4 linked regions of the Diceros bicornis minor genome follow. Each later gene encodes a partner of the first gene's protein in a complex. Links are inferred from orthologs where the notes say so. Each region holds a gene or a part of one and is shown in the gene's direction. Other genes may lie near its edges.

Evidence for each region.
Region 2: cytochrome c oxidase assembly factor 1 homolog (region 1) and ACAD9 share a complex: the UniProt entries of both Homo sapiens proteins name them as parts of the mitochondrial complex. The link is inferred for Diceros bicornis minor from reciprocal best matches to the Homo sapiens genes COA1 and ACAD9.
Region 3: cytochrome c oxidase assembly factor 1 homolog (region 1) and ECSIT share a complex: the UniProt entries of both Homo sapiens proteins name them as parts of the mitochondrial complex. The link is inferred for Diceros bicornis minor from reciprocal best matches to the Homo sapiens genes COA1 and ECSIT.
Region 4: cytochrome c oxidase assembly factor 1 homolog (region 1) and TMEM126B share a complex: the UniProt entries of both Homo sapiens proteins name them as parts of the mitochondrial complex. The link is inferred for Diceros bicornis minor from reciprocal best matches to the Homo sapiens genes COA1 and TMEM126B.

What each region holds. Positions count from the first base shown.
Region 1 is NC_080780.1:901,019-908,877, reverse strand, and holds the start of cytochrome c oxidase assembly factor 1 homolog, read left to right. Parts: upstream 1-4,676; 5' UTR 4,677-4,749; intron 4,750-7,859. Other genes in the region: BLVRA (biliverdin reductase A), read right to left, coding at 4,209-4,242. UniProt on the Homo sapiens protein: Component of the MITRAC (mitochondrial translation regulation assembly intermediate of cytochrome c oxidase complex) complex, that regulates cytochrome c oxidase assembly.
Region 2 is NC_080741.1:89,663,516-89,671,543, reverse strand, and holds the start of ACAD9 (complex I assembly factor ACAD9, mitochondrial), read left to right. Parts: upstream 1-4,732; 5' UTR 4,733-4,735; coding exon 4,736-4,930; intron 4,931-8,028. UniProt on the Homo sapiens protein: As part of the MCIA complex, primarily participates in the assembly of the mitochondrial complex I and therefore plays a role in oxidative phosphorylation.
Region 3 is NC_080769.1:7,999,507-8,007,533, forward strand, and holds the start of ECSIT (evolutionarily conserved signaling intermediate in Toll pathway, mitochondrial), read left to right. Parts: upstream 1-5,017; 5' UTR 5,018-5,083; intron 5,084-8,027.
Region 4 is NC_080746.1:46,900,759-46,908,506, reverse strand, and holds the start of TMEM126B (complex I assembly factor TMEM126B, mitochondrial), read left to right. Parts: upstream 1-4,490; 5' UTR 4,491-4,512; coding exon 4,513-4,590; intron 4,591-7,333; coding exon 7,334-7,455; intron 7,456-7,748. Other genes in the region: DLG2 (disks large homolog 2), read right to left, coding at 2,509-2,527. UniProt on the Homo sapiens protein: As part of the MCIA complex, involved in the assembly of the mitochondrial complex I. Participates in constructing the membrane arm of complex I.

The sequences.
Region 1 (7,859 bases):
TGAGAGAAGTGTTGACAGATCCAACTATAACTGTGGATTTGTCTATTTCTCTTTTCATTCTGCCAGTCTCACCTGTGGTGGGCAGCAGCTGATGTCTCTCTTCAGTTTTTGAGCCTCAGATAGCTCAAAAGTCTGCTCCACATGTGTGTGTTTCAGGTGTCAGCCAGAAATATGGGCAATTCATACACAGAATTTGGTCTTCTTCCTCTCTAACTTCTCTCCTTTTTGGGATTTTTATATCTTCGTGATGACGTAACCTCCTTATCATTATAACTGTCCCTATTTTCTACAACCAGCATATTTGAACTGTTACAATTTCCTATAAAACTACAGTAGATCCATGCAATTTCCTGTAACAAACATGTAGAACAAGCATAGACTTTGGATTAAAGGTGACATTTTATAAGAGATAACAAAAAACTTTTCCAGGGTTAAAAATCAGGATATCACAAGGGAATTTCTTGTAAACGAACTAGTCAGGACTCAATTTCATGATGATAGTACGTAAGATAAGTAAGAAAGAACATTCATCCCACTTAGTTAATGTTAATTTTATTAGTGTCTTTGAGGCAAATATTGTCTAATTTACATTTAGTTTTATGACAAGATGCAATGGCATGCTCAATGCTTTGTTTTCTCAAAGCCTCTGTGTCAAATTTTTCCCTATTCTCTCAATAGCTGGATACTTCCTTAACATGATAATAGATATCTACCTCAGTCCCCTAAACTAGCAGCATGCTAAATGGGAAAATTCTAGAGATATCCCATTAAAGGTAGGAATAAGACAAGGAAGCCCACTGTCTTCACTATTATTAAATATTTTTTGCTGGAAATACTATCCAATGCAATTAGATATGAGAAATTAGAAGTACAGTCATTGATGGTGTTCAGGGCAAGCCGCCCGAAGATGTGCCACTCTGGTATGTGGATTATTTCGACATAATAAGACAATAAAGGCTCAGAAGATGCAGGAGAACATTTGAGCTTCCCCTCCCAAACTGCCTAAAGAATTTAATGTAGAATGCCTGTTACAGGAAGGAGCCACTACCATATGATGGCTGTAGTATATAATGTAAAATAAATGCGATAAGAAAGGCACCAACAAGCCCATCTTATCAAAAATTCTGTCTCTCCAGCCACATTCTCTATAGGTGGCCCTGTAAAGATCTGCCTGACAAACATTTGCATTTCCATCTCCATGTGAATTGTCTTCTTCCCCTCTGAAATCCCAAACCACTACCCCCAACAACCTCCCTGCCTTTAGCTGAAAATACTTAAGTGAGCAGCTTAGTCAGAAGCACGAGTTGCTCAGTTTCTATTTTCTGAGTTTCTCCCATGTATACATGTTCTTAAACTTTGTTTGATTTTCTCCTGCTAGCCTGCATTTTTAATTATTTGGCCAGCCATAAGAACCTTAAAGGAAAGGGTGGGGAGGCATTCTCCCTCTTCCCCAACATCATGCAACACATAATGAGGTTTCGCGGTCAACGACGGACTGCATATATGATGGGGGTCCTGTAAGGTTAGTACCATATAGCCTAGGTGTGTAGTAGGCTATACCATCTAGGTTTGTGTAAGTACACTCAGAATGTATACCTGTCAGTAAGCGATGTATGACTGTATAAAATTTGGAAGGATTAGGTAAAACTATCACTATTTCAATGATATGATTGCAATCCTAGAAAATATAAAAGAATCAACTCCAAACAATAAGGTAACTTAGTAAGGTAGCAGAGTAAAATATTAATATGCAGAAAATGATATGTCCACGTATATAAACAACTACCATGTGTAGTAACTCCATTCAGATTTGATAGTTCCAGGCTGCTGCTGAAATACTGGATATGCTGTATTGGATCCTGCCATTGTTGAGTGCATTTCTCAAAGTGGCCATCTCACCACTTAACAGTACCCCTCATAGACAGCATTATAGCCAACACTCCTCCTCTTTCCACCTCCTACCCCTGCCCTGGCTCCTTAGAAGTTAAGAGGTAGTGAAACAGATTCTTTCCTTAAATATATAAAAAAGAGAGAGACAGGGCCAGCCCCGTGGCTTAGCGGTTAAGTGTGCACGCTACGCTACTGGTGGCCCAGGTTCAGATCCCGGGCATGCACCGATGCACTGCTTGTCCAGCCATGCTGAGGCCGCATCCCACATACAGCAACTAGAAGGATGTGCAACTATGACACACAACTATCTACTGGGGCTTTGGGGAAGAAAAAAAGGAGGCGGATTGGCAATAGATGTTAGCTCAGAGCCGGTCTTCCTCAGCAAAAAGAGGAGGATTAGCACGGATGTTAGCTCAGGGCTGATCTTCCTCACACACAAAAAAATAAATAAATAAATAAAAAGAAAAGAGAGAGAGGTATGAATCAGATAGGATACTTTTGACTATAAGAAACAGAATCCTTGTCTCAAGCTGACTTAACAATAATAACTAACATTTTGAACGTTTAAAACATTACCAGCACTATTTTAACTCATTTAATCTTCACACTATCTCTATCAGAAAACAAGAAGGAAACATCAGATATCCCTACAAGAAGTTCATAAAGAGGGTGAGCTCCAGGCTTGGAATAATATTTCTATCACTTTGTTCAGCTGTCCTCAGCATCAGCTTTGATTGAGCTAACTTGAGGCACTTGCTCATCCCTTGACCAACAACTATTCCTAGAGGAATTCTGTATGGTGATTGGTTTAGATTTAATCAGTATCATTTTATAGTGCTGGGAATAGGGTGGCTATCTGAACAAGATGTGGGTTTCGTAACAAAGGAGTAAGAGGAGAATAAATATCAGATACATACCAACATTAACTATAAACTATTAAACCATATTAAAATTTAGATCAAAACTTTAGTAGATGTAAGTCCAGTGATAGAAAGGTAAATTCTGAGTTTTCAAGCAAATGGTCAGAAAAGCCTATTTTATGCTTTCTTTTTACAAAGTAATCATGTTTCTCTTTCTGGTATGGTATAGGAGCTAAGTGATCCAGGGTTCATTTTCACAAATACTGTATAAAATACACATATACAAAACCTCATAAGGTTTTTGTTACTTGATTTATTATATGAAATCTCAAGCTTGGTGTAAGACATTGCAATCTTTTTTTTTTGTGAGGAAGATATTAGCCCTGTGCTAACATCTGCCAATCCTCCTCTTTTTTTGCTGAGGAAGACTGGCCCTCGGCTAACATCCGTGCCCATCTTCCCCTACTTTATATGGGATGCCACCAAAGCATGGCTTGCCAAGCAGTGCATTGGTGCATGCTCGGGATCCGAACCGGTGAACCCTGGGACGCCGCAGCGGAGTGCGCGCACTTAACCGCTTGCGCCACTGGGCTGGCCCCAGACATTGCAATCTTAATCTCTTTGGGTTTTAAGAAGTCAATAATCAATGTCAGATCAATGAAGATTAATCAATGGATGCCTATTTTATTTCTTCATTTCCTCTGATGTAAGGAACCATTCAAATAGTCCTTATAGTTCAAGCACCTTAAAATCTGATTAGTTTCTATTAATTCTTCATAAAAGAACTATTCTGGGGATCCATAATTTAATGACAGGCCTCTTTGATAATGTGCTCTTTTAGCCAGTGGACTCCAAAGTGATGGCATGTATGTATGGCAACCTATTTGTTGCATGGGCAGAAAACAGAACTTCTATTAATATTTTTATTTCACCTTTCTAAAGTTCTATTTCTTGTGAAAATTTTATAGTATGCATAATATATATCAATACCATACATAGTACGCGTATATAATCTAATTTTATTTCTGATAGGGAGGTGTGATCAAGAGTTTGAAGACCACAGCCTTAGACTAAACTTGAATAGTCTGGCTATGGTTATGCGGTAACCATAACTCCATCACCCTGGAGTTATGGTTATGATGTGTATGAACACATCACATTTAGGTGACCCATCAATCGTGAGACTCATTGCTTTGTGGAAGAAAGGTACTTGGACTCTAAGCTTCACATTGAAAATGTAAATGATGATGAAAACAGTGGTGATGATGGCAATGGAACGGTCAAGATGAAAATAACAGCTAACGCTTATTGAGCACTTACAAAGTGCCAGACGATTCTAAGTGCTTTACACCCTCACAAGAAATCTATGAGGTACTATCATTATCCATTGTAGGATTCTATCATTATCTATTTTACTACTAAACTCCATGAAAACAGAGACCATTAGTTTTTTCTTACCCTTGCATTCCCTGGAGCACAGTAGGCATTTCATAAATATTTGGTGAATAAAAGAAAATTGAGCGTTGCCAAATTTCTCAGCCGAATAGGGCAAGGTGGATTTCACCGCCAGCGTGGGGCTCAGATCCCCGTGGCTTCGCGTCCTCGCGGGAGAGCCGAAGCGTCAGATCTCTGCGGGGAGCAATAGGAACCAGGGCTTTAAACTTCCTCGGCCAGCGCTCCCGGACTGCATATGTGTGTTGGGGGCTAACGGGACGTATAAAACAAAAAGCGGGGATCTGAGGAGACGAACCCGTTCCCGACGCAAATCCGAGCGTCTAGGAAGCTAAGCCACACAGCCCAGGCCGTCCCAGCCCGCGCCCAGCCGCTCGCGGGCCTTCGGGCGCCAGCCATCCCGACGCTCTAGCCCCGCGAGGCGGCGACGCCGGAAGTCTCGACTGCTCCCCGCGGGGCGCGCCCACCCGCGGCTCTGCCCACCCACTGCCCACATCCGGAAGGAGCCCGTCTGCTTCCTGCCGCGTGGTGCCTGTGTCCCTGACAGGTCAGCCTTCGCCCCTCGGCCTGGGATGCGCGAGAGGGGTGCGCGCCTCTCCTACCGCCAGAAGCGCTGGTTCCCGCAGTCCGGGCGGCCGCGTTTGCGCGGCGGGCGGGCTGCTGCAAGGGCAGCCCCCTCAGGGGTCACCTCCCGGCGGCTCGCGACCTCCCTGGGCTGCGTGGATGGCGCCTGGGGGCCCGTGGTGGGCTCCGCGCCTTGAGACGCTGCAAGGCGCCCGTCCCCTTGGAGCTGTGAGGCCGTGCGCAGCTGACCGTCGCCTCGCCCTGCGGTCCTTCCTGGGCGTGCCAAGAGCCCGTTTGTGAAGAGTCGGGGTCCTCCCGGAGAGGCGACAGTGGCGCTCTGTTGGTAGTCCTGAATCACGACTCTCTGAGGAGGACCCTGCCCAGATGACTGTGCGAGAGAATTTTCTGGCGCAGTGGTCATAATAGTTTTTGTCCCCATCGAACTTGAGCTCCATACAGAGGCTGACCATACAAGTGATTTTCAGTGTGGGTGACGGGGCGTGTGTGTGTGTGTGTGTGTGTGTGTGTGTGTGCGTGCGCGCGCGCGCGCGCGCGCGGTGTGCTGTGTGATTTAAGAAACCCATAAAGATTCTTACATTTTGACATTTGCTTCTCATTTCTTCCCCCAGCTCCTCCCCGTTCTCACCTGAGGGCTATTGCTCTACTTCAGCTTTGGACAGAATAGCAACACCACTTACACTTTGCACATTTAAAACACAGATCTGATTGTGTTATTCTTCTCAAAGTCTTATTGGTCCTCCCGTTGATTCAGGATAATACGAATTTCTTAGCCTGGCATCAAGACCCTTCAAGGTCTTGCTTCTACTGAGTTTTTCAGTCTCATCTCCTTTTATGAAAAACACGGTTATAGATACGTACTGTATGCTCCCGCCTTGCCAACCTGCAGTAATTTCATGACTTTGAATATGACGAGGTTTTATAATGGTTTGCTCACATTTTGAAATTTATTTTTCCATTTAGTCAGAATTTATTGAATTCCTGATATTGCTAGGCAGTGTTTTAGGAGCTGGGGATATAACGGGAAAAAAAGTCACAATCTACAGTCCTTTTAAAAAATAGCTTAATTGAGGTGTAGTTCGCATACCATAGAATTTACTCATTTAAAATATATTGATTTTTAGTACACTTACGAAGTTGTATAGCCATCACCACAATCAATTTCAAAACATTTTCGTCACCCCAAAAAGAAAACCCTGTACCCATTAGCAGTCTCTTCTGATTTCCCGTCTACTCAACCCTACTCCTAGCCCTGTGCAACTACTGTACTAATCTACTGTCTATATATTTGCATATTCTGGACAATCCATATAAATGAAATGATAGGGTATGTGGTTTTTTTTGATTGTTTTCTTTCACTTAACATTTATGTTTATTCATGTTGTAGTATCGGTACATTCCTTTTTTTTTGCTAGGTGATATTTCATTGTGTGGATATACCACTATTTATTTATCCATTGGTCAGCTGATGGACATTGGAGTTGTTTTGGCTGTCATAATGCTGCTATGAACATTCATGTACAAGTTTTTGTGTGAACAGCATGTTTTCATTTCTCTTGGGTGTATACTTAAGAGTAGAATTGCTGAGTCATATGGTAACTCTTATGTTTAACGTTTTGAGGAACTGCCAGACTGTTTTCTAAAGCGGCTGCACCATTTTATATTCCCATCAGCAGTCTATGACGGTTCTGATTTCTTCACATCCTCGCCAACACTTGTCATTATCTGTTTTTTTAATTCCACCCATCCTAGTGGGTGTGAAGTATATCTCATTGTGGTTTTGATTTGCATTTCTCTGATAGCTAATGATGTTGAGCATGTTTTCATGTGCTGTGAGCCATTTGTTTATCGTCTTTGGAGAAACGTCTATTCATATCCTTTGCTGATTTTTAAGTTAGGTTGTCTTTTCATTGTTGAATTGTAAGTGTTCTTTATATATTCTAGATACAAGTCTCTTATCAGATATATGTTGGTCTTGTAGATTATGCTATAGTTCCTTTAAATGAAGAGCACATAAGGTTAATTTTTAGTCTTCCTGGAGACCATGTTATAGCTCTGTGGGGGTAGTTCAGAGAGTGAGTTGAATAACAACTTCAATGAGTGGAGGACCAGGCCCCGGAAAAAATGCTGTGAAGAAGCTGTGAGCAGCATTTTAAGATTTGAAAAACAAAGCAGGGGGAAATAGTTTATAATCTATTCCCTATTGAGTTTTGTCTTTTCCTTATTGATTTGTAGGAGTTCTGTGGTAGAGATGTTAACCCACTGACTGTTAGATATGTGGCAGATATTTTCAGTCTATTTGCCTGTTAACTTTGTTTTATATCTTTTGCTATGCTAATGTTTTACATTTTTGTGTAGACAGGACTCACAATCTTTTCCTTTAAGAGGCTTCTGGGTGGTAGTTTGGGATATTATTCTCAAATTGCAGGACTTATAGAAACTGACATAGTAGTTCCCTGGTTGTGTGATGTCTGAGTCCCTGGTACCGTATTTAACTTTATAGTGTTCATTGTTTCAGACACTGGTGCCTCCCTATCTCTCTGCCTTGAAAAATATGTGTAACCTGCTTCAGCTTTGTTGGTTCATTTAATTTTCTGTTTCAAATAGACTCCTAGAAGTTATTCCCTTATTTATGTTTAATATACTGCATTAGGTTTGTGTGAACCATGTTGGACAGTGGTCATCGAATAGTAGGTGCTTATTTCATGCTGGCAGAAGTTTATTAGAAGATTTTTTTCTGTGCAGAACTTGACTATAACTATGCTGGTTCTATATTGATTGGGGCATGCTGGGAATACTAGTTTTATAAAATCCTATTATTTTGATATTTGTTTTTCTCATTTCATTGGTTTAAATGTAGTGGTAATTGAGATATTTTTAGGATCTCTGAACATTTTGAGAAACATTTTGAGGAAAGCTATACCATAGCTCCCTGGAAAAAGTTGCATCTCTACTCTACATACAACGTGCGAGGCTTCGTTATTTCCCTATGGCCTGATTTGTTAGGAAGACTGTTTCTTGCTTCAATCTTTCTTTGTTTAAATTGTGGTAAAATATACGTAACATGAAATTTAA
Region 2 (8,028 bases), on another chromosome or scaffold:
GACATAGGGGTGGTGGGGTGGGAGGAACAGGATTAATGCGTCTTCTTTGAAAATACATTGCTAGGCAGAAAGACTTGTTAGACGAGTCCAAAATATTCAGACTGACAATTACATGTAAGAAAGAAGGGACAGAAAAGATGTGAAATGAGCGCCCACGTACCACGTGCTGTGCCTGGCACTCCCTGCAATCTTTGCCTGTGGGTAATATCATCCCCAATGAGCTGGCAGAAGTGGAGAGTGAGAGCAAGGCCTCAAGGGGCTTCTGACTTGTATTTGTCAGAGTAATTTGACCATATTTCAGGTAGCCAATGTAACCACAGGACCAGTTTAAACTGACCCCATCTTATCAACACCAGAATGTTAAAGTTGTTTTTCAGGGGCAGCAAGCCAAAACTGCAAGTCACGTAGCTGCAGCACGCGCAGGAGAGAACATTTTGACCTGAAATAACACCTGGAAGCAGAGTCTCCCCGCATGGAACCAAAGGACCACGGGAACTCAAACGCTGGACTCTCTTCAGAGGTGAGGAGTCCATTGTCCAGGAAGATCCAGTGTTAGTCCCTTTCCACACCTTACTGTAAATGTTTAAAGCCCTCCAATCGAAACCTGCCCCACCAGTGCTTCCACATACCAGCCTGTTCCTCTTAACCTCTTAAATTTTGCCCCAAACCCTGGATTGGGGAGACAAATTTGAGAGCCTTGCCTCCTGTCTCCTTGCTGGTTGACCTCGCAATAAAGCCTTTTCTTCTCTCAAAAACCAGTGCCATAGTGTTGGCTTTTCATGCGCATCAGGCCACAGGCCCACTTGCCTGGTAACACCAATAATGGAGAAAAGAAAGGGGACTGGGTGTCTGAGTCTCTATTCACCTAACTCTCGCCTTCTACCCTCAGGAAGGCAGTATAGGGGGATAAGAACACAAGACTCTAGGAGCCAGCTGGCAGGGTCCAGGGCCTGGCTTTGTTATTTAGGGCTGTGTGACCTTTCAGTGCCTGTTTTCTCCTTTGTAAAATGGGCATAAAGTAACAACACCGAATTCACAGGTCTGTTTAGAGGATTAAATGATGTATCACAGGTAAAGTACATGCAACAGTACCTGGCATAGAAAGCACTCATTAAATATTAGCTGCTATTATCACTCTGTTTGAGGACACTGTCTCCAATGACCAGGATAGGGCTCAATAATAACAATGTTGTTGCTTGGGGCTCAGTCTGCCTGATGAATGTGACTGGCCCCTAGTAATGATGACTCTTTATCCTGTACTTTATAGTGTTTTCTTTGAAACTCGGAAAGTATTTTTATTAGTTAACACTGGCTGCTATAACAAATGAACCCCAAAACGTCAGTGGCTTAATACAATACATATTTCTTGCTCATGTAACAGTTTGATGTAGGTGTTCCTATTCTGCTGATGGCTATCCCCCACATGGTTGGTTCAAAGACCTAGGCTCCTTCCATCTTGTACTGCCATCCCCTGCGGCCTACAGTCCTCTGCTGCCAGCTGGTGGAAGATGGGGTGGCCAAGAATGGCCACTCTTTTCTTAAAAACTGGACAAAAGTCACATTATCGCCACTCACATGACGTTAGTGAGAATGTCATCTGGATGTAGGGGGACTGGGCGATGTAGTCCCTGGCTGGCGGCTGCGTTGTGCTGACAACTGCACGCTAAGGAAGTGGGCACAATTTTTTGATTACTAGTTGTCTCTGCCACAGCAGCGCTTCCAAGTCATAGACAATGCAGTAGAGATACTTGTCCAGAATCAGACAGCTAAATGGCAGAATTAGGACTAGATCTCTTATCATGACTCCTAGTTCATAGTCTCTTCCCTACATCTTGCTATTTTTCCTAACTTTGGTACAGGCTGTGTAGTCTAAGGGGCTTTCCCAAAGTATTTAACTGTGCCAGTGTCCTATCACTTAGGAGACTATTGATTCCAGACCATAGCAGGATTACTGGGTGTAAGCATGGGTTCTAAGATATAGCCCCAGTCCTGTAGTCACTATTAGGACCTATTTATTTCTAATACTATGTGCCAAGAATCACAATACCTCATGTATTAGTCTGTTACGGGTGCTGTAACAAAGAACCACAGGCTGGGTGGCTTAAACAATTTATTGTCTCACAGTTGTGGAGGCTAGAGGTCCAAGATCAAGGTGTTGGCAGGGTTGTTTCCTTCTGAGGGCCGTGGGAGAGAATCTGTTCCAGGCCTCTCTCCTAGCTTCTTGTGGTTTGCTGGCAATCTTTGGTGTTCCTTGGCTTGTAGAAGTATTATCTCAATCTCTGCCTTCATCCTCACATGGTGTTCTCCCTACGTGCATATCTATGTCCAAATTTCCCTTTCTTATAAGGGCACCAGTCGTATTGGATTAGAGGTCCACCCTACTCCAGTATGACCTCATCCTAACTTAGCTAATTACATCTGCAACGGAATGCAATAGAAAATCCTATTTCCAAATACGGTCACATGCTGAGGTACTGGGGGTCAGGACTCCAACAAATGAATTTTGTGGGTACACAATTTAACCCATAACACTCCATTACATTTGTGGTTTTCAACAAGCCAGTGACTTCCATGTTTCCATAAGAACTAACGTACCCCAAATGGGAACAAATATACATCAAAAGGAAGTAATAGTAGACAGCATAATTTATTGTATGCAACAAGAGTATTCTCTGAAGGACATCCCTCTACACACAGATGTTTGATCTCTAGACAGTAAGGTGTCAGCCAACTTCTCTCTCAGCAGGAAACAAACTGGTGATAAAATTTATACAACTCATTTGTGAGCCCTTTTATTAGGATTTTGACTGCTGAGACAGGAACCTTGACTAGACTAACTCATTTCTCACACAACTGATTATTGATCTTGTAACCTTTGAACAGGAGACAAATCTAATTCTTTCTTATCTCCAATTCTGTGTAAATTTCTCCATTAGCTTCTGACTTTGCAGCTTTAACACTGAGGGATTTCAGAGTAGTTTTTGAGTCAGACAACCTGCTTGAGACCCAAAGCCAAGCATCCTGGCATACTAACACTAATATTATGGCCACATAAGAGTGTCAGCTTATTTGCTGGGAAGTTATGTATGGGAATAAGATGTATTGATGTGCTCATACAGGAAGGACATTCAGAGATACTCAGTGAGGGTGTTTTAAGCACCGAATACGGGAAATTCTATGTTTACAGCAAATTGTTTAAAAACAGCATCCTATTTCTCAGAGGCAAATACTCAAGTATAAGATGGAAATTATCAGAGTGTAACCATTTTCCATTTTTATTACTATAAAACATTGATCATTCACTGTGCCAGATGCTTACCTAATCTTCACAAGGGTCCTGTGAGATAAATGGTATATACTCATTTTTACAGATGAGGAAACTCAACTAAGAAACTGGCAACGTAGTGGAATTCCAAAATCTTTTTCCACTACAATCTACTAGAATACTTAAAAATTATGATTAAAATTTTTGTTTTGGAAAATATGTGCCACTGACTTTCTCATTTGTTTAATTTAGAGTGACCTCTGTACACTAAGCAGGATCTCACGTATTATCAGATTACTTGATTGACCTGACTACATTTGTTTTTGCAAAAACGTACACCAGTTCGAACTCAAGCCGTTTTTGCAACATCGATTTTGTTTCGCGATTGAGGTTAATTCACAAAGGCAGCTGTTTCCAAATGCCTTCTTGTGAAGCTGAATGCTCGAATTAGGCAAATATTGACCACTGACGAAGAAACCAGGTGACAAGCCTTTTAGACAAAACAGCACACTGCAGAAGATGCTTGTAAATATTCCGCAACCAAGAAAAGTCGTTGAGCTCTTTTCCCCTGATGTTGTGTCATCAAGTCTGCACCCAGACAAGGTAATCTTTCATTGGGCCGGGCTTACCCGCTGAGGGGACTGCGATTTCGTACTCTTCCCCGGTTCACATGACGGAGAAGCCTTTTCCAACACCGTGGTGAAAGCTGTCGTCCGGTACAGCACAGTGCGGCCGGGAGAGGAACCCTTCCCAGAGGGGCGGCCGCCGGACCCTGGAGAGCCCCCGCCCGCCGGCTCAGGGCGTCGCTCGGCGCCGCGGGGGTGCCCAGCCCCCTCCCCGGGCCCTGCGCCTGTCCCCTCCCGCCTCTTCGCGGTTCCTTCGCAGCTTCTCTGCCCCGCCGGCCTTTTCCGTTGGGGTCTCCCAGGGTAGCGGTGACTCACCGAGTTTTAGCCAGGCCTGTCTCTGGCAGAACACCCCTTGTCCTCTCCCCAACCCCATACGTAACATATACATGTGTAGGCTACTAAGCAAAACAAAATGAATCCGCACGCATCCCCCATCCACTTAAAAAACGGAACAGTACTCGTACTCAGCTCCCCTCGAGAAATAACCAACAGCGTCAATTTTCCTCCCATTCCCTTGCTTTAGTTTTTCCTACGTCTTCGTCGCCCCAACTGGTGAGAGGGAAGCAAGTGGAGGCCGCTGGGCCACAGCTTAGGTCCCCGCACCCATGAGAAGCTTCCCCGGACTGGCATGCATAAAAACAATCGCTGGTATTTAAAATAAAAGACCCTCCCGCCGCCACCACCAGCCAGAGCACGAAACCGCCAAGATGGCGCCGGCCTCGCCCCGCCTACCTCCCGGGGAGGGAGACTGCGCAAGCGCAATGGCGGCCGGCGGGGTGGCGCAGGCCAGTGGCGTCATCCGGTGGCCGAGCTAGATGCACGTGACTGAGGCGCGGAGAAGAAGATGGCGGCAGCAGTGACGGCGGTGTGGGCGGCTGCGGGCAGCATGAGTGGCTGCGGGCTTTTCATGCGCAGGGGGGTGGCGGCGACACGTGCGTGCCGGGCTGTGGTGGCCTTCACCGCGAGCCGTCGCCCGTTGCGCACCAGTCCGCTGAGCCGAGCTTTCGCCAAGGAGCTCTTTCTGGGCAAAATTGAGAAGGTAACCCCGAGCGAGAGCCGACCCTTGCTGTCTGCCCCCTCTTGGCCCTTAGCAGGAACGACTGGAGTCAGTCTTTGTCAGAGTTCCCACACCTGCGTGACCACTATACCTGAGGGGCGGGGTATGCTAAAACTCCAGACTTTTTTTTTTCCTGGAGCAAGACGGGCCCTGAGCTAACGTCTGTTGCCAATCCTCCTCTTTTTGCTGAGGAAGGCTGGCCCTGAGCTAACATCCATGTCCATCTTCCTCTGCTTTTTATGGGACCCCACCACAGCATGGCTTGACAAGCGGTGCGTGGGTGCGCGCCTAGGATTCGAACCGCGAACCCCAGGCTGCCGCAGCAGAGAGTGCACACTTAACTGCTGTGGCACTGGGCTGGCCCCTAAAACTCCAGACTCTTGAGCCCCACTAGAACCTTCCCCGGGCAGGGGGTCCTGAAGAAACCATGGTTTTGACAAGTGTTCCGGCTAATTCTTGTCAGGCCAATTTAGGAAACCCTAGGCGTGGCAATGCAGCCCTGAACTCAGTGTCCTGGCGCCGGAATGTACGGGCGTCCTCTCTGATTCCTAAACACAGTTCAGCCCGTGCGTCTCCTCTGTCAGCCTCCCGTAGCCCTTGGGCGTCCACAGCTTGGTCCCTGTGCCTCACCTTGCCATTAAGTTTCTTTAGAAGTCTGGCTCTGAGGTGCCTTCCTCACCTCATCCCTTCCATGGTTGGTACAGCCCGGTAGTAACCCAGCTGTTATCCAACAGGGACAGTTTAGTTATTAAGCACTCATTATCCTCTTGTTTGTGGAAGACTTGGATTTGAGCTGGACTCTGTGACTGAGCCTCAGATCTTTCAGCTTTAAAATGACATGGTTTGCCTCACAGATGTGTTGGAAAGCCCCAATGAGATATATAGTCCGTGGAAATGCATTTTAACCTGTAAGGTACTGTGCAGATGCAAGAGGCGGCAGAGTAGGTAGTTAATGTGGCTTCAACACACTTACTAGTCTCGTACCCTTGGGCTAGTCACTTCACCTTCCTGTGCCTCAGTGTGCTAATCTACAAAATAATAAGAGCAATACTTGCCCCTTCCTAAAGGTGTGGTGCAAACCAAGGAGAAATTTGTGTAAAGTGCTTTGAACTTGGCTGAGATGTTGGCTGATACTCTTATTACTTAAGGAGTTATTCGGTGGTTTCTCTTTAGAGTGTTTCTCTAATCTGTCAGGCGTTACAGGCGCAGAAGCTGAAACTGACTAAGTGATTTGCCCTGCTAGGAAGTGCAAAGCCAAGTTTTAACGTTTGGGAAACCAGTTTTCCCAGAACCTGGGGCTGTGTGGTGCTCTATCTTGGCACTTCGTGCCTCCCAGCACATTGGTGAAGAAAGAACACAGATCTTTCATGCTTTTGTTTCTCCACGCTTCTTTCCCCATCCTCATTCTCACCTGTCAACTTTGCCTCCTACTTCACTGAAAAAATATATGCAGTCAGCTGAGAACTTCCACCACATTTACCCCCTCCTTTCTGCACATATGTGCATAGGGTCTACATTCTATTACTATGGATGAACTCTACTCCCAGCAAAGGCCCACCTTGTCCCTAGACCATATGCGTTGTCACCTCCTCACGGGCATGCCTCCAGTAATTCCCTCCTTTCTCATCTACATCATCAGTGGTTCCCTCTCTGCTGCATCTTGAAACCATACCATTCAGGCTTTTGTCCTTAACGGTCTGCTAAAACTGCTTTCATGAAAGTCAGTTGTGATCTCCATGTTGTCAAGTCTAGTGGTCTGTTCTCATTCCATATCCTACTTGACCCATCACTGGTGTTTGACACAGTTCATCACTCCTGGCTTCTAAAAAACCCTTCTCTCCTGGTTTTTTTCTTTACTTCGTTGGCTGAGCCTTCTCGATCTCCTTCGCTGGTTCCTTCTTGGCTCCTTAACCTGTAGACATTGGCCAGTGTCTCCTACTAGCGTAGTCCGATTTGGAGTTTTATAAGGCTCAATCTGTAGACTTCTCTTTTCATCTACACCCCTTCCTTTGATCTAATTTAGTACTGTGGCTTTAAATACCATCAATATCCTGATGGCTCAAATTTATTTCTCCAGCTCAGATTTCTCCCCTGAACTCCAGACTCTTGATATCTACCTTTCTACTCAAAAGCTCCACTTAGATGTCTAATAGGCATCTCAAATTTAGCATATCTAAAACTGAGTTCCTGGTCTCCCCACCCAATCTTCTTCCCACTAGTCTTCTTTATGGTAGATGGTGGTGACTCTGTTGTTCTACTTGTTCAGGCCAAACACTTGCAGTCACCTTTGTTGCCTCTTATTCTCATAATTCACTTTTTTTTTTGTGAGGAAGATCAGCCCTGAGCTAACATCCGTGCTAATCCTCCTCTTTTTGCTGAGAAAGACCAACTCTGAGCTAACATCTATTGCCAATCCTCCTCCTTTTTTTTCCCCAAAGCCCCAGTAGCTAGTTGTATGTCATAGTTGCTCATAATCCACTTCTAATCCGACCGTAAATCCTGTTTTCTCTACCTTCAGGTTATATTTAGAATCTGACTACTTTTAAGCACCTCTACCCTAGAGCTCTGATTTAGGCCAACATCATCTCTCACAGCATTACTGAGGTTTGAGCAGGAATGTCGTGTCTGAGATGCTTAGAATTTTAGAATAGAAAGACCCCTTCAAGATCATCTGGGCTAGAAGCTGTCACTCTGCCCTCAGTTGGACCCTTGCTGTTCATGGAAGTTCCCCTGGAGTTACTGCAGGGACCACGGGGGAGTTGAGTGGGAGGCATTTGGGTGACCTCCCCATCCGCAGCCTCAACCAGATCAGCTTCGCTTTTATCTGTTTTACATACTTGGTTTCTGCACTAGATTTATTTAAAAAAACAGGTTCCACTGCTTTAAAAAATTTAAAAACTGCTGGTAGAAATTGAACCCAGCACCCGTGAGGCACCACGTTTGGTTTTTGTACATTGCTATCAGAGATGCATTCTTACATGCACTTGAGACCTCTCTCCCTATAGCAGTTATCTTTTGGTGGTAGTTGAAGGCCACCTAGTTACCAGGCTGTTCTGTTTTCTCATCTGGCATGCTCACTG
Region 3 (8,027 bases), on another chromosome or scaffold:
AGGTTATTAACAGCCTAAAACCGGGGCTTTCTGGGGGAGCCCATGAGCCCCGCCTTCCGCTGTGACCTAATCTCTTATCACATTCCCCTCAATTCACTCCACTCTAGCCACACAGGGCCTTCGCAGTTGCTCCTTGTGCCAAAGTGTTCCCCGAACTTCCAGAGGCTTCACTCACCTCCTTGACACAAAGGTCACCTGCTCAGTGAGATCTTCCTGGAATAGCTGATTTCAAACTGTAAACCCCTCTAGCACCTCCTCCCTTTCTCTGCTTCATTTCTGTCTACATTACTCATCTCTTTGTAAGGAGACTTTTAAAAATATTGTGGTGAAATATATAACATAAAATGCACCATTTTTAAATGTACAGTTCTGTGGTATTAAGAACATTCACGTTGCTGTGTAACCATCACCATCATCCGTCTTCAGAACTTTTTTCATTTTCCAAGACTGAAATTCCGTCCCCATTAAACACTAACCCCCCATCCCCCTCCCCCAGCACCCGGCACCCACCATTCTACTTTCTGTCTCTATGAATGTGATTCCTCTAGGGACCTCATGTAAGTGGAATCATATAGTGTTTGTCTTTTTGTGACTGGTTTATTTCATTTAGCACAACGTCCTCAATCCATGCTGTAGGCTGTATCAGAATTTCCTTCCTCTTTAAGGCTGCATAATATTCCATTGTATGTCTATACCACATTTTATTTACCTGTTCATCTGTCGACAGACACTTCAGTTGCTTTGGCTATTGTGAATCCAACTGCTATAAACATGGTGTGGACCTATCTGTTCGAGTCCCTGATTTCAGTTCTCTTGGGTATCTACCCAGAAGTGGAATTGCTGAATCATATGGTAACTCCATTTTTAATTTCTTGAGGAATGCCGTGCTGTTTTCTACAGTGGCTGAACCAGTTTACATTCCCACGAGCAATGTACAAGAGTTCCACTTTCTTCACATCCTCGCTAATAATTGTTAGATTCTATTTTGTTGATAATGGCCATCCTAATGGAAGCAGAGTGTTTAAATAGACTTTTAAAGTATATCATACATATAGACGAGTGTACAAATTATAGCTCAATGAATCCATGATAACTTTTAAAAACTTTTAAATTGAGATATTACTCAAATGCACAAATCTCAATGGAGAGCTCAACGAATTTTTACATACATATAGCCACGTAATCGTCATGCAGTTCAAGCTATAAAATATTTCTTTTTAAAAAATTCTTAGGGCCGGCCCCGTGGCTTAGGGGTTAAGTGTGCGCGCTCCGCTGCTGGCGGCCCTGGTTCGGATCCCGGGCGCGCACCGACGCACCGCTTCTCCGGCCATGCTGAGGCCACGTCCCACATACAGCAACTGGAAGGATGTGCAGCTATGACATACAACTATCTACTGGGGCTATGGGGAAAAAAAAAGGAGGAGGATTGGCAATAGATGTTAGCTCAGAGCCGGTCTTCCTCAGCAAAAGGAGGAGGATTAGCATGGATGTTAGCTCAGGGCTGATCTTCCTCACAAAAAAATAAATAAATAAACAAAAAATAAATGAATAAAAAATTCTTAATCTATTGGTTAATATCAACCATTTTGTTAACCACATGTAGCATTTTACATTTCTTTTTTTTTTTTCCCAAAGCCCCAGTAGATAGTTGTATGTCATAGCTGCACATCCTTCTAGTTGCTGTATGTGGGACGTGGCCTCAGCAAGGCCGGACGAGCAGCGCGTCAGTGTACGCCCGGGATCCGAACCTGGGCCGCCAGTAGCCGAGCGCACGCGCTTAACCACCAAGCCACGGGGCCGGCCCTACATTTCTACTTCATGAACATATGCCCTTTCTTGGAAACAAATTCTAAGCACTTAAATTTATTTTTCTTTTTTCAATTAATCTTATATTTCCTTCTGGATCTAGCACCCAATACATATTTGTTTTAAAATGCATATAAATGTTGGTTGAATTAATGAATGTATTTTGATGCTTTGAGATGACAGAATGATGGAAGACAAATCTAAATATCTAAATTAATACACAGAACACAGAGAATCAACTTCTACACACAAGCAAAAAGAGATTAAAAAATGCTGTTCATGGGCCAGCCCCAATGGCCTAGTGGTTAAAGTTTGGTGCGCTCTGCTTCGGCAGCCCGGGTTCGGTTCCTGGGCACGGAACCACACCACTCAAGTGTCAGTGGCCATGCTGTGGCAGTGGCTCACATAAAAAATAAAAAAGAGGAAGACTGGCAACAGACGTTAGCTCAGGGTGAATCTTCCTCAGCAAAAAAAAAAAAAAAAGAAAGAAAATGCTGTTCATTTCAAAAGGTCACATGTTCCAAGTTCAAAATAGATTAAGGTTAACAAGATGATAGACAAAGTCATATCCTAAACAGTTTTGAAGTTGTACTTAATTTTTTTCAAGCTACGAATAGTTGTAAAATATTTCTATAGAACATGGGTCTTTTGTCCATCTCCTCCACTAGAATGCCAGCTCCCCACGGTCAGGAATCTTTTTTTGCTCACTCCTGTTCCTCAATGCTTTGAACAGTGCCTGGTACAAAGGGGGCACTCAATAAATACCTGTTGAGTGAGTCTAAGCCTTCTCCTGGTGGGGTGGGCACAGCCTCAGGCTCCCAGGGACAACCTCCCCCACTGTGGCCCTGGCCCAAGTCTGTAGCACGGTTGAGGGAAGCTCTTGCACATCTCTTCAATCCCTTCCCACACTCTGCTCTGGAGCATGAGGGTTCCCCTGTCTCAGGCCCTGGACAGCACGATGATTTACATCCACAGGATGTTGAGAATGTCCAGCATAACCAGTCAACACCTCTCAAATTTTAGAACTTCATTACAGCGATGCCAGCTACATAGACTACAGCCATGGACACACCAGTCAGCAAGGTCATTAGCGAGTTTCGGGGGCAGCTCACTGTACTCAGCAACCAGTTGTGGACAGGAGAGTGGGGGTCAGGGGTGAGGGAGGGGGAGAGGGATCCAGGAGAGGAGCAGGAAGGCCCCCACAGGTCCCCAGACCCAAGTATCCCAAATTGGCAAAGGGCTGAGAGCAGACACAAGTTGGCACAGAAGTCTGCGAGCTAATGCAGCCTCCTGGGGCTCACTCTGAGAACCTTCCTGGAGGCGTCTCTTCCTCACCTAGACACCCTCAGCAGTGTCCACTCCCCCCACACACACCCATGCTGCCAGCTCCCCACCCCGACAGGAGCGCAGGGTAGGGGTGGGAGTGAAGTGGAGAAGGTCCACCTGGGCCCAGCTGCCTCTTACAGAGTGAGGTTGGTGCTGACTGTTTCCGCGGAGAGCAGGTTGGACTGGCCGAGAGCGCTGATGGCCGGGGAGAGGAGAATGGACACATTCCTGGAGCGCAAACAGTGGCCAGTTAGGCCCCGCCCATCTCCCACGCGTGGCCCCGCCCCTCAGGCCCCGCCCCCGCAGTACTTGGCGTCCTATTGGAGGCGTTTGCGCGAGTCCAAGGCTCTCCCACGCGGCAAGAGGCTGCGGAACATCCGCTGGCTGAGCGCCCAGGGGCTCATTTGGTGCAAGATGAAATCAGAAGGCTGAACCATGGGAGCGGGGCGCCATAGGGACAGGCAGGGATGGTCATTGCGCTGTGGCCACTTCCACGCCCCAGGTACCTCCTCTGCCCGACTGCCCAGCTCCTGCAGCCGGCGGGCCGGATGCCAGCTGCACCATCTCCAATGTTGCCACGCCCTGAGGCAAGAGGATTATCGAGGGTCACAGGCCTGCCGCACACAGGGAATCAGAGACTCTTACCATCACAGACACATGCTGGTAGACACAATCACACGCAGAGAGACAGATATGGGGTGTCACACACGGTCACATGTGCCTCGACGGTGGGACACAATCATTTATCCACAAGTTCAGAACACAAGAGGCATCACAAACACAGTCATCGACCACCGGTGTTCAGACACACCATCGCACACACATTACGGCAGGCGAATGATCACAGAAATGTTGACACACCTACTGCCAGCCCCTCAGAGTCGTGCGACAAATTCCACCCACCCCCTGCATACATACACACAATCACAGACACCCAGAAGCTGGTACAATTACAGGTGCCCATGTAGCTACTGACACGTGGACACACAAGAACCTGCACACACCAGTTCCCAGACTGGCCTCGCTCACACTGACACACACACGGGGACCATCCCTGACCCGCACTTACCCAGCCACACATACACCTAGACACCTTTGCTCGAGTTTTGAGACACTACAAAAACGCATGAAAAACCCCCAACTCTGTCACCCCAACATCGCAGTTACACACACACCGCGGCCACAAGACACAGTCATGAATTGTGTCTCACAGGACCCTCAGCCCTCAGTGAGGGTGGCCCAAGGCGTCAAACTAGACGCCATACCATCCCAGTGGGGGAGGTGGAGGGAGGTGTTAGCGAGGATCCCCCATAATAACAATAGCAAGCACTTATATGGTTGTTCTGCATAGATTCACTTAATTAAACCTCAAAAACCCCTATGAAGTTATTATAATTTGCCCATTTCAGAGGTGGGACAATCGAGGCACATTTGGCTTAAGCACTGGCCCAGAGTCACGGAGCTAGATTAGCAGAGCCTGTCTCCTTCACTGACGTCAGCGCCATATCCTCAGCGCAGTTAGCACACAGTAAGCGCTCAATAAACGTTTGTTGAACAAATGAAGGAATCCACATCACTCCCACCTTTAATATTTCATTCCATTTCAGGTGGAAAAACTGGGGCCGCTAGCTGGATTCACAGGTCCCCCCAAATCCAGCGTCCCAGCCCGGGAACGGTCCACTCACTCCTTCCCGGGCGGTACTCCTCAATTCCCAGGTCGGGGGTGCGGCCTGCCTCGTTAGGGGCGGGGCCTGGCTCCTTATGAGGCGGGACCAAGGTCTCTCCGCCTTCCTATTGGTGTTCCTCCCTTTGGGGCGGGCCCTCTCTAAACTGGCGTTCTCGATTTGCTGTCTCCCTGGCGGCCCATGACCCGGAAGCTCTCTGGGCAAAATGGCGGCGCCCAGCAGCACGACAGAGCCGGCCCGGAGTCCGCGGCCGGCCGCGTGAGTAGGTAGGTCGCGCGTGGGGAGGCGAGCGCGAACTGCTGGGTCCCGGGGCGGCCCGTTCTGGGCCGGCAGGGCGGGAGGGCGGCCCCAGAGGGGCCCGGCTGGAGGGCCAGGGCACCGTGACCTTTGGGAGTGTGGGGCGGGGACGTGCTGGGAAAGGCCGCCCTCCGGGTACCCGCCTTCTCACGTCCCTGATTTCCCATTGTACGGATGAGACAGCTGAGGCTGAGAGAGGTTAAGGCTGTCTCCAGAGATGACCCCGCCAGTCGGCATCTAGGCGGGAGTTCGAACCCGCGTCTACCTGTTTCCCCCCAGGGACCCGGAATCCTGCCAGCCAGCCCCAGAGTTGCTGTAGGTGCACCCTGCCTAGGGGTTCAGATTTATAGACGTTTTGTAGAAATTTAGCTCTTCTTCCCATTCAACTGATAGTTGTTAGATACCTGATATATACCAGGCACTGTCCCGGGTGCTGGAGACATAGCAATGAGAAAGACAGACAAAAAATCCCTATTTCCTGGGGGAGCCAAACTTTGAACAAATCAGAAATAAACGAAACAGGTGATTTCAGATGCTAATAACTGCTAAAAATGCATTCATCAGGGTAATGGGGGCTGTAGAGTGGGAGTGGGGCAGTGGTCAGGGAAGGCCTCTTGTTTGAATAGAGACCAGAATGACCAGAGACAGTTATGGACTGATCTAGGAGAAGAAATTTCCAAACAGAGGGAAAGCAGCTGCAAAGGCCCTGAGGCTGAAATAAACTTAGCTTGTTTAAGGAACGGTATAGCTGGAGCTGCCAGTGATGAGAGTTGAGTTTGGAGGAGTAGACCCTGTCTGTTTCTAAGTGTGATAGACTATTAGTGATTTTAGGCAGAGAACACTGACTTTAGTTTACATTTTAAAAGCTCTCTCTGGCCATGGTGGGGAGAACTGATGGGAGGCAGGTAAGGAAAGAAGTGGGAGGCTGGGTGGGTATTCTGGAAAGAGGTCATGGACTGGAGTGGTGGCCTGCAGATAGAGAGAAATGGATGCGTTTGAGATGGATTTGGAAGTAGTTCCCAGGACCAGCTGATGAACTGAATAGGGGAGTGAGGGACATAGTGGACTCAGAAACAACTCCTCGGTTTGTGGCCTGAATGACTAGGAATGGTGGTGTCATTGGCTAGGATGGGAAGGAAGAAGTTTAAGCAGGGATATCAGTTTGGAGCAAATTAAGTGTGAGACGGCTGGGTGTACGCCAGGGTGGCAGCGAGGTATGGGGGCTGGAGCTCAGAGCCAGCCATAAGCCTTTGGGAGCCATCAGCACATACGTCATCGCTTGTCAGACGTTAGCACATGTAGGAGATACCTGGACTCCTGGATTCTTGTTAAAATGCACCTTCTGAATCAGTAGGTTTGGATTAAGGCTGAGATTTTGCATTTTCTATAAGCTCCCAGATGCTGCTGCTGATGTGGCTGGTCCCTGGAACACACTTAAGTAGCAAAGGTTTAGATCAAGGTCTTACTCTTAGCTGCACATTACAGTCATTGGAGTGCTTTAAAATGCTGATGCCTGGGCCCTACCTCTAGATATTCTGATTTAATGTGTCTGGGGGATGGCCTGGGCATGGGGATTTCTTAAAGCTCCCCAGATGATTCTAATATGAGCAAAATTTGAGAACCATTAGAGCTGCCTACAGGAATACAGAGAAGAGGGGAACAAGTTGAATGACACCTCAGGGAAGCAGACAGACCAATCCAGTATGTGGGACTCTTTGCAGCCTTACTACGCAAAGTATGGTCTCCAGACCAGCAGCATCAGCATCACTCAGAGACTTGTTAGATGTGCAGAGTCTTTAGCTCCACCCCAGACCTGCTGAATCAGAATCTGCATTTTAGCAAGATCCCAGGTGATTCATCTGTGCGTTCATGTCTGCAAACATTGCAAACTCTAGAGAAGGAGAAGGTCCTGCTGATTGGCTGAGAAACAGGCCCGGGTGCTAGGAAGAAAATCAAGAGTGTCAAGAAGGTGGGAGGAGGGCCCCACTCGTGCCACATGCTTCTGAGAAATTGAGCAAAGTGAGGCCTGAGAAGTAATCACTGGCTTTGGTGAGTGTAGAACACACAAGGGGCATTTATAAGTGGTGTCAGTGGGGTTTTGGGGCTACAGCCAAGTTGGAAAGAGTGAGGAAGGAACATAGTGTGTAGACACCTCTCAGGAGAAGCTTTGCTGTAAAGAGAACAGAGATGTGGAGCAGAGGCTGGAGGGAGACTTCAGGTCAAGATGGGAGATGCTAGAAAAAGTTTAAATGGTGATAAGAATGATCCAAACACTTTCCACTGATTTTATGAGGCCTGCGTTACCCTAATACCAAATCAAACAGACACTAAAAGAAAACTACAGACCAATATCTCTTATGAATATGGCCACAAAATTCCTCAACAAAATACTAGCAAACCAAATTTTAGCAACATATAAAAAGGATTATAGACTGTGACCAAATGGAATTTAGCCCAGGAATGCAAGGTTGGTTTAAAATCTGAAGGTCAATGTAATATACCATGTTAATAGAATATAGGACAAAAACCACATGATTATTTCAATAGATGCAACTAAATGCATTTGACAAAATCCAGTACCCTTTCTGATAAAAACACTCAGCATCCAGTATAGAAGGGAATTTCCTCAACCTGATAAAGGGCATCTTTGAAAAACCCACAGCTCACGTCATACTTAATGATGAAAGACTGGATGCTTTCCCCCTAAGATCAGGAGCAAGACAAGGATGTCCGCTCTCACCACTTTTATTCAACATTGTACTAGAAGTTCCAGCAAGGGCAAGAAAAAGAAATAAAAGGCATGCAGATTGGAAAGGAAAAGGTAAAACTATCTTTTTTTGCAGATGACATGATCTTGTATATAGAAAATCCTAAGGAATCCAATAGAAAGCTATGAGAACTAAGAAATGAGAT
Region 4 (7,748 bases), on another chromosome or scaffold:
CGGCCATGCTGAGGCCGCGTCCCACATACAGCAACTAGAAGGATGTGCGACTATGACGTACAACTATCTACTGGGGCTTTGGGGGGAAAAAAATAAATAAATAAAATCTTTAAAAAGAAAAAAGATTCGGGGCCGGCCCGGTGGCGCAAGCGGTTAAGTGCGCGCGATCCGCTGCGGCGGCCCGGGGTTCGCTGGTTCGGATCCCGGGCGTGCACCGACGCACTGCTTGGTAAGCCATGCTGTGGCGGCGTCCCATATAAAGTGGAGGAAGATGGGCACGGATGTTAGCCCAGGGCCGTCTTCCTCAGCAAAAAAAGAGGAGGATTGGCGGATGTTAGCTCAGGGCTGATCTCCTCACAAAAAAAAAAAAAAAAAAAAAGAAAAAAGATTCAAGATGACAGAGGACAGTGCAGAATAAATCTAGGTTATACTTTAAAATATTTGTTTTACTTATATTTTAGAAACAGTATAGATAGTAAGCTTAACCAGTTAAAAATATAATGCACAGGTCATAACTTGTTTGGCTAGTTGTCTATAATATTCAAAAATATATATCTTAATACTAATAGTTTTAAGCTATTAAAAAAAGATAAACTACTTCTCTAGGTAAATTACATAATGCATATATCTTAGTATAATCCACATATATACATGTTTTGCTAATTAGAACTGATTGATTCCTTAAAAAATTTGATCCATTACTATCAAACCATTGTCAAAGAAGAAAGAAAGAAGAGGAGGGAGGGAAGAGGAGAGGAAAGAGAGGGAGGGAAAAAGGAAGGGAGGGAGAGAGAAAGGAAGAAAGGAAAGAAGGAAGAGAGGGAGGGGGAAGGAAGGAAATAAATATCAAATTATTTCTCATAAAGTAAGATTTTCAATAACGTATCAGCAATTTTCCTTTAAAGGTAGGAACTTTTAATAAACTCAGTCTATTGGGTTTAGAAACCTTAAGTTCACTCTGCTTAGTTAAGTTATACCTAGAACATCAATTGCCCTTCCTCCTCCTCCTTCCCAGATACCTTTTTATGCCTTTCTCTGTCTCTCCCCCTCCCTCTCTCCTTTCTCTCTCCCCCTCTTCTCTTCTTTCTCTCTCTCTTTCTCTCACACATACACACACACACAGACATAAAGCGTTTAATTCAATTAGTAGTCTAAAATAAAGTAGTCCAAAAGGGACACTGTGTACAGAACAATAAATGGTAGACAGAGTAAAAACACACAGCAAGCTAAATAAGTCAAAGAGCCATATCTTTTATTTGCTACATTCCCAAAACCACTCTTGTTCCAGATAAACCAATTGTGTCAGGTCTGGACAGGTGTGGCTCCAAAATCTCATAGTTTACTTCTCTCAGTGATATTATGGGGGAGAGCAGAAGGAAACAATCCCAGTCTTAAATCCCAGTGTATAAAGGGACAGTTCTAGGTGTTTCAAAAGTTTTATATATCATTGCTCATCTCTACAGATACCAGTTGGGATAAAGCATCTCACTGATTATAAGTTTCTTCAATGCACCTTTCAAATCCACAGGTAGAAGGATTAAACATCATGCAGAACCAGGTTGCACTTTAACCTTCACCCTGGGCTTTAGTCTCAGACTGCAGCAACTCATATAACTAGTCAACATTTGGATCTATGCTAGCCCAGTACAGTAGAGTTCAAAGGTGTTCATATAAATTTTGGTTCAAAACTCTCAAGAAAACTCTTTATAGTTGATCTGATCTTCCATACAACGTCAAAAAAACCAAACCTGTTTCACTAGGATCCTTAAGAACAAAGTTCACCTTGGTAGATCTAGGCTAAAGTGAATCCTCAAGATCTGACCTATAATAAACTATACCTCAGGAACCCACTGGATTTTGATCAATTCGGGGTGGGGGGGTGGGTTGGGCGCAGAGTGTCAGGTGTTTGCTTCATTTTGGGAACTTGCCAATCATGTTATTGGATAATGCATGCATCTGAAAAGCACAACAGTTACCAAAGTTGTGCTTTTTCACAAAAGTGAAGATTTACACTAGTGTAAACCCAAATACTAAATCTATTTTTTAATCAAAAGATAAATAATAAGTCTATAATTTTTTTCAGTGCAAACAACTTTACTATCTTTTACAACTATGTAATTTGCTTGATAAATATTAAATCCATGAGGAAGAACTCTACTGTACAAGTTTTTTAAAGATTCTTTAAAGTAACCTTTAACAAGCTAAGAAAACAAGCTAAAGAAAAATCAAAACCTGTGGTATCAAATCTACGCTGATTATAAATGGTGATTTAGACAACCTGATTTATGAAATCACAAATGTCTGTAATTAAATACTATAGTCCTACTTCATTTCACTTTAGCAAAATAATATTACTGAATGATGTATCACTGAAAAGACATTATTACAGTAAATATTTCCCCAAACTCAAACAAAATTTTACTCTCAAATGGAATACAATTTAAATTGCGAATACCAGAATGAAGAACATGAAGAAACATATACTATACAGGAAGCCTCATAGCCCACCTTTCTTTTTGACTGGCATTCTTGGGTCTTTGCACTGCCACAGGATTCAAGATCTCTTTTCAGGTCTCAACTTGATCCAGCTGGATTGAGGCCAAGAGCCAGGTAACTGTTGCAAATTACTTTACTGTTCAGTTTTGAAATCCAGGCTGTCTTCTCTTTCACATAAAGAAAAAAAGACGTATATTTTCCACAGTTAAACTTTTGACACTGCCCACACAGTTTAGAGAAAAATAACTTTTGAGTTTTTCAATTTTTATAAAATATTTGTTCTATTTAAAAAAAAAGCTGAGAAAATTATTGTAAGCATAGAAAACGTTATTAAAACTCCCCTTCAGGCAGCAACATTTTTGGAGTTCAGTGACTAACTCAATTAAGGCACAAACCAAATTTACACAGCTGTCTCATTACTCTATATATGATCAAATTCAAAGATGAACCGCTTGACGATAAAGATTCTCAATTCTTTAGAGAAAATTTTAAACCCCCTCCAAAAAAAAAATACTTAAAAAATCTCTTTGACTCTGGTCTCTAAAAAGGTGGGTGAGTTTGAACAGTTTTCTGGGGCAGAACAGAGACTGAAAGGCCCCTTTCTATTTACTGGACCATAAGTTCCGGATCATCCCCTCAGTAAGACAGAATCCAGCTTGCTGTCACTTCCATTTTTTTCTTCTGTGCTCTCCAAGCCCCTCAGGCTTTATCCTTAAAGCCCCTCTGATTCTGATCCTCCCATGTATTAACCGAGAGGATTGAAAAGAGGAAAGCAATCCCTTGGCATGGAGACATTAAAGTGACAGTGCTACTCAATGGGCACTTGATGCAGGATGAGTTGGCGAAGTAGATTTCTTCACACTGGAGTCATTCACATCATGCCATCTCTTCGCATCCAAGCAGCTCCCTATCCGGCGAGGAAAAACACTGAGACTGTTCGCGAGGAGAAGTCAAACCTTCCCCCAAAGGTGTTTTCTGAGACGCTGTAGTAGTATTAGGCATGTAAGCATAAGCTGTGCAAACGGTTCGCGATTTCCTAAACGAGAGAGTTCGGCTGCTTGGCTTCCACATCCACCCTTTTTCTCAATCTCTCTCCAAACTACCCACCTTCCTTTTGCGGAAAAGACACGAAATCTCTCTGCCACCGCTGGCCACCCCTGCCCACACCCCGCTCTTATACAGAAGAGCAGTGAAATGTCCTGCACCCTCCACGCGACGAAGTGTTTCCTCAGGCAGGAGGAACAGCAGCACTAGAAATTATATAACTCTCGAATTTGGCTTCTCTAAGACATGGAGACTGGAGGGTCGGGGGTTGCTGGTCTGGGAGATACTGCTGGGCAATGAACGTGCACAAAAGGGCGCCAGGCCTCCTCGCAGCGTCCCCCACCCCGAAACACCGGCTGGCAAGGAGGTCTTCTCGGAGAGTGGGGGGCAAACTTCTCTCCAGTCCCTTTCCAAGCAGGGTGAAAGGGTGGAATGTGAGAGGACTCAAGACTGGGGAGAGGAGTCAGGCGGCTGCGAGGGGAGGAGGCTAGTCGGGGCTGTGCTGACGGCCGGCTGGGGGCTCTGGGGAGGAGGTGTCCGAGAAGCTGGAGTCTTAACACACGGACCAGGCCAGAGGGGCCAGCTCCCTCGAGGAGCGAAAGGGGCAGGCAGCTCGGCCGCAGCCAACGGAGGTGCCCTGAGGGGAGGACAGCGCGAAGCAACACCCCCACGCTCGGAACGCCCCACATTCCCCTCAGGGTGGGAGAAGAGCGAGCTAGGCGAACAAACAGCAAGGGAAGGGAACGCAGGGCTGGCGAGGAGGGGCGGGCCCACGGGCGACTGGACCTCCTCGAAGCCAATGAGCGGCAGTAATTTCAGGACGCCGAGCCCAATCACAGCCAGGATGGAGGGCGCGGCTTTTGACTGGGTCGGGGCGGGCCCCGGCTGCAGGAGAGACGCGTGAGCCGGCACCACTTCCCACCCTGGGCGTTCTGGGTTCCCGCCCACCCGCAAGTCACGTGAGCCGCCAAAATGGCGGCGCTGGGGCGTGAGGCTGGGGCTGACCTGAGGGACGCAGGTGTGCAGGTGGGAGCTGGGGGAGCGCCCAAGGTAGGCAAAAACCGGGAGTTCTGTGGGCAGTGATTTCTGCAGCCTCAAAGTGTTGGCAGACTCTTCTGAAATGAGGCATGTAAAAGGGATTTGAAAATCTAAAGAGACCAGCTCCCACATCCATGCAGGTCGTACTTAATTTAGTCCTCAGTTGCTATGGAAAGAGGCAAAGAGAAAGTAGGAGACCTCAAATCTAGTCCTGGTAGCTTGCAGCTTGTTTTCTCTTGCCTCCGAGCGTCTGCACTGGCCTTTGCTTCAACTTGAAATACCTCCCTGCACCTGTGCCTCCCCACCCCACCTCCGCCAAATTCTCCTCTTTCGGATATTCGTTTAAATGTCCCCTCCTCCAGAAAACCTTCCCACACTTCCCCTGGCTAGGTTATGTTTGGCTTTTCTTATGTTTTTTGTTTTGTTTTGATGGCACACTCATCCTGCGTTTAAATTGCCTGCCTTTCTAGTCCTGACTTCCGGCTGGGTTGTGGGTTCGTGAGGATCTTGATTATGGGTGCGGGGGTGGGGGCTGTGGGAGGGGCTGTCAAATACCATGTGCTCCGTAAATGATGAGTGAATGTCGAATAAAATTCTGAAAGTCAAGTGAAATAATATGAATAAAAGCACTACAAAACCGTAAAATGCTTTGTAAACTATAAACCTACATAAATGCACTCTTACTGGTACAATCGTGGTGACCAGTTGAGTGGCCTTAGACTAGTTAATTTTTAGATAAAATGTTGGTTATAGCAAAATCTTTACATTTCAGTACTTGTTAACAATCTATCAGAAAGTGACCAGTTACTTTCTCTGCTTTATTAACAATGCTTTGCAAAGACTAGGCACTCGATAAATATTTGCTGTCGTGTTTCAGTATTTTGAGATCATAATCCTGAGTGTCTGTGTTCCCTAGATACTGAGGCTGTAGACAAGGTAGGAGGTTGGTACAAGGCATTGCCTGAAAGTTTTCTTTGTGGGGAGTAAGGGACTTCAATGAATGGGATGATTGCAAAACAAAAATTTGTCCAAGGTTTCTGGTTATCATGTTACTGACATCTGCCTTCGTGGTACGTTAGATAGATTAGATATAGAATCTCCCTTAGATATTACTATCACTTCTCTTCCATTTTCCATTTAAATGTCAGAGAGAGAAAAAAGATTAAACCTAGTCCCTGAGAAATTGTAATTTGTAACATTTTTTTTTTTCCTGTCCTCCTCAGATATGTTAGGGAAAGAGAACTGGCTTGAGTACAGTTCTACAATGTTGCAGGGGAAGAAACTGGTCCATTATTATTCATAATGTAATACCATATGAAGTTTCAAAGGAACTCATACCTTTAGGATGTTGATGCCATGGATGAATTGGCCTTTTGTTAGTTAGGATTAGGATTGGTACATATCACTTATTTAGCAAATGAGTATTACAGTGATGTTCACCATGGGTCCATTGACTGCCAGCATCAGAATCACTTGGTGTTACTAAAATGTAGATTTCTAGGCTTCACCCTACTCCTCTTGAATACACATATCTCAGGAGGGAGCTGAAGAGACTGCATTTCAAATAAACTCCCCATGTGATTCTTGTGCACACTAAAGGTTGAGAATCACTGATTTATTAAGTATCTTCTCGGTTTATTTTGCTTACTCTACTCTATTCTCTTGCCCAAGACTTCTGAAATTTGAGATTTAATCCATGCCCTTAACTATAAAGGTTGTTAAAATGGAGACTGGTATAAAATGTGAAGGGCCAGAGATTTTGTTATTCGTTCATTGGCTAATCTGGAATCCCATTGATGGCAGCATAGTAAAAGATTTAACAAATGTTATTTTTAAGACTTTTCACAGAGATCTGAGAATCTTACCCAGAGCAAAAGATTCAGAAAAGATCCTTTCTGAGGATCCAGGTTTTTTTTTTTTTTTTTTTACCACTGGTTTCTGGTAAGAAGCTACTAGCCAAACCCTTATGGTCCCTTGACATTGGCAACTGTCTGTTCATACATCACACTTGGGACACAGGAACCTTCCAACCCTGGAGCCCAGTGCCATGTGTCCAGGCTCCGTGGTATACCAAATAGCAATTTCCAGCAAAGGCCCTGCTTCTGCCCAAGGTGCTGCTAGAGAGCTGGATATATAACTTATATGATCCAAAGTAGCCATGATCCACTATGTCTTCCTGGCCTGGAAGAGTGTCCCTCCTTCTGGTGTTCTCTCTTGCTGTTCTCTAAGGCAATCCCCGCTCTCTCCTGCCGTTCCAGGAAACTCAACATAATCTCCAAAATGAGCTCAGGCTTTCATGAGACAGAGGATAGAGATAGTTGTCAACAAGTAGCTACTGTTTCCTTCCAGCTCTGAAAAAGCTACAGCAAGGAGAACTAAAACAAAGGGCCTGGGTACCTTCAGGGAAAACTGTAAGGAAAACAAAAACTCAGTATTTCAATAAGTTATCCTTCTACACTAAGTCCTAAGGCAAGTCACCCTTTCTGAGCCTCATTTTTCTCATCTATAAAAGTAGAGATGATCATTATCCTACTAGTTTCTCAAAGTTATTGTGTGAATCAAAAAGCGATTGTCTAGCAGATCGTAAGAGCTCACTAAATGTTGACTGAATCATTAACAAAGTGTGTGAAAGCAGATGACAGTTACCTGACACATTACTGGGGTCTAAATGTTTTTTAATCTGAATCTGTAGAATTTTTAAGATTTAATATTAATATCGTTAGCTATTATGGTTCTGGAATTTTGTGTTTTCCAGGACATCAGGATGGCAACATACACACATGGTCAGCCCAGTCCTTCTCTAGGAGATGCAAAACTCAGAAGACCAATGGTCATCGAAATCATAGAAAAAAAATTTGAATATCTTAGAAAAGAAAAGTAAGAGACACCCCCAGACTGAAAGTCAATAACTTTTATTTGCAGATCTTCTGTATTGCCATTGTTTCTGAGTATCTAAGATCCTATTAACTTTATTGAGTTGTTTATGAAGAAAGCTTTTAAAAGAACTGGAGGGAAATGTGAACAGACGAAAATAGTGGTTTGTTGGAATATTGGAACTGTGGGTAATTTCTTTTGCTTCTTAAAAAATGTCTAAAATTAATGTTGAAATGTTATTTGTGCAATAAATATTTTTTAATTGAAAATGATTAGGAGAACACTATTTTGGGAGC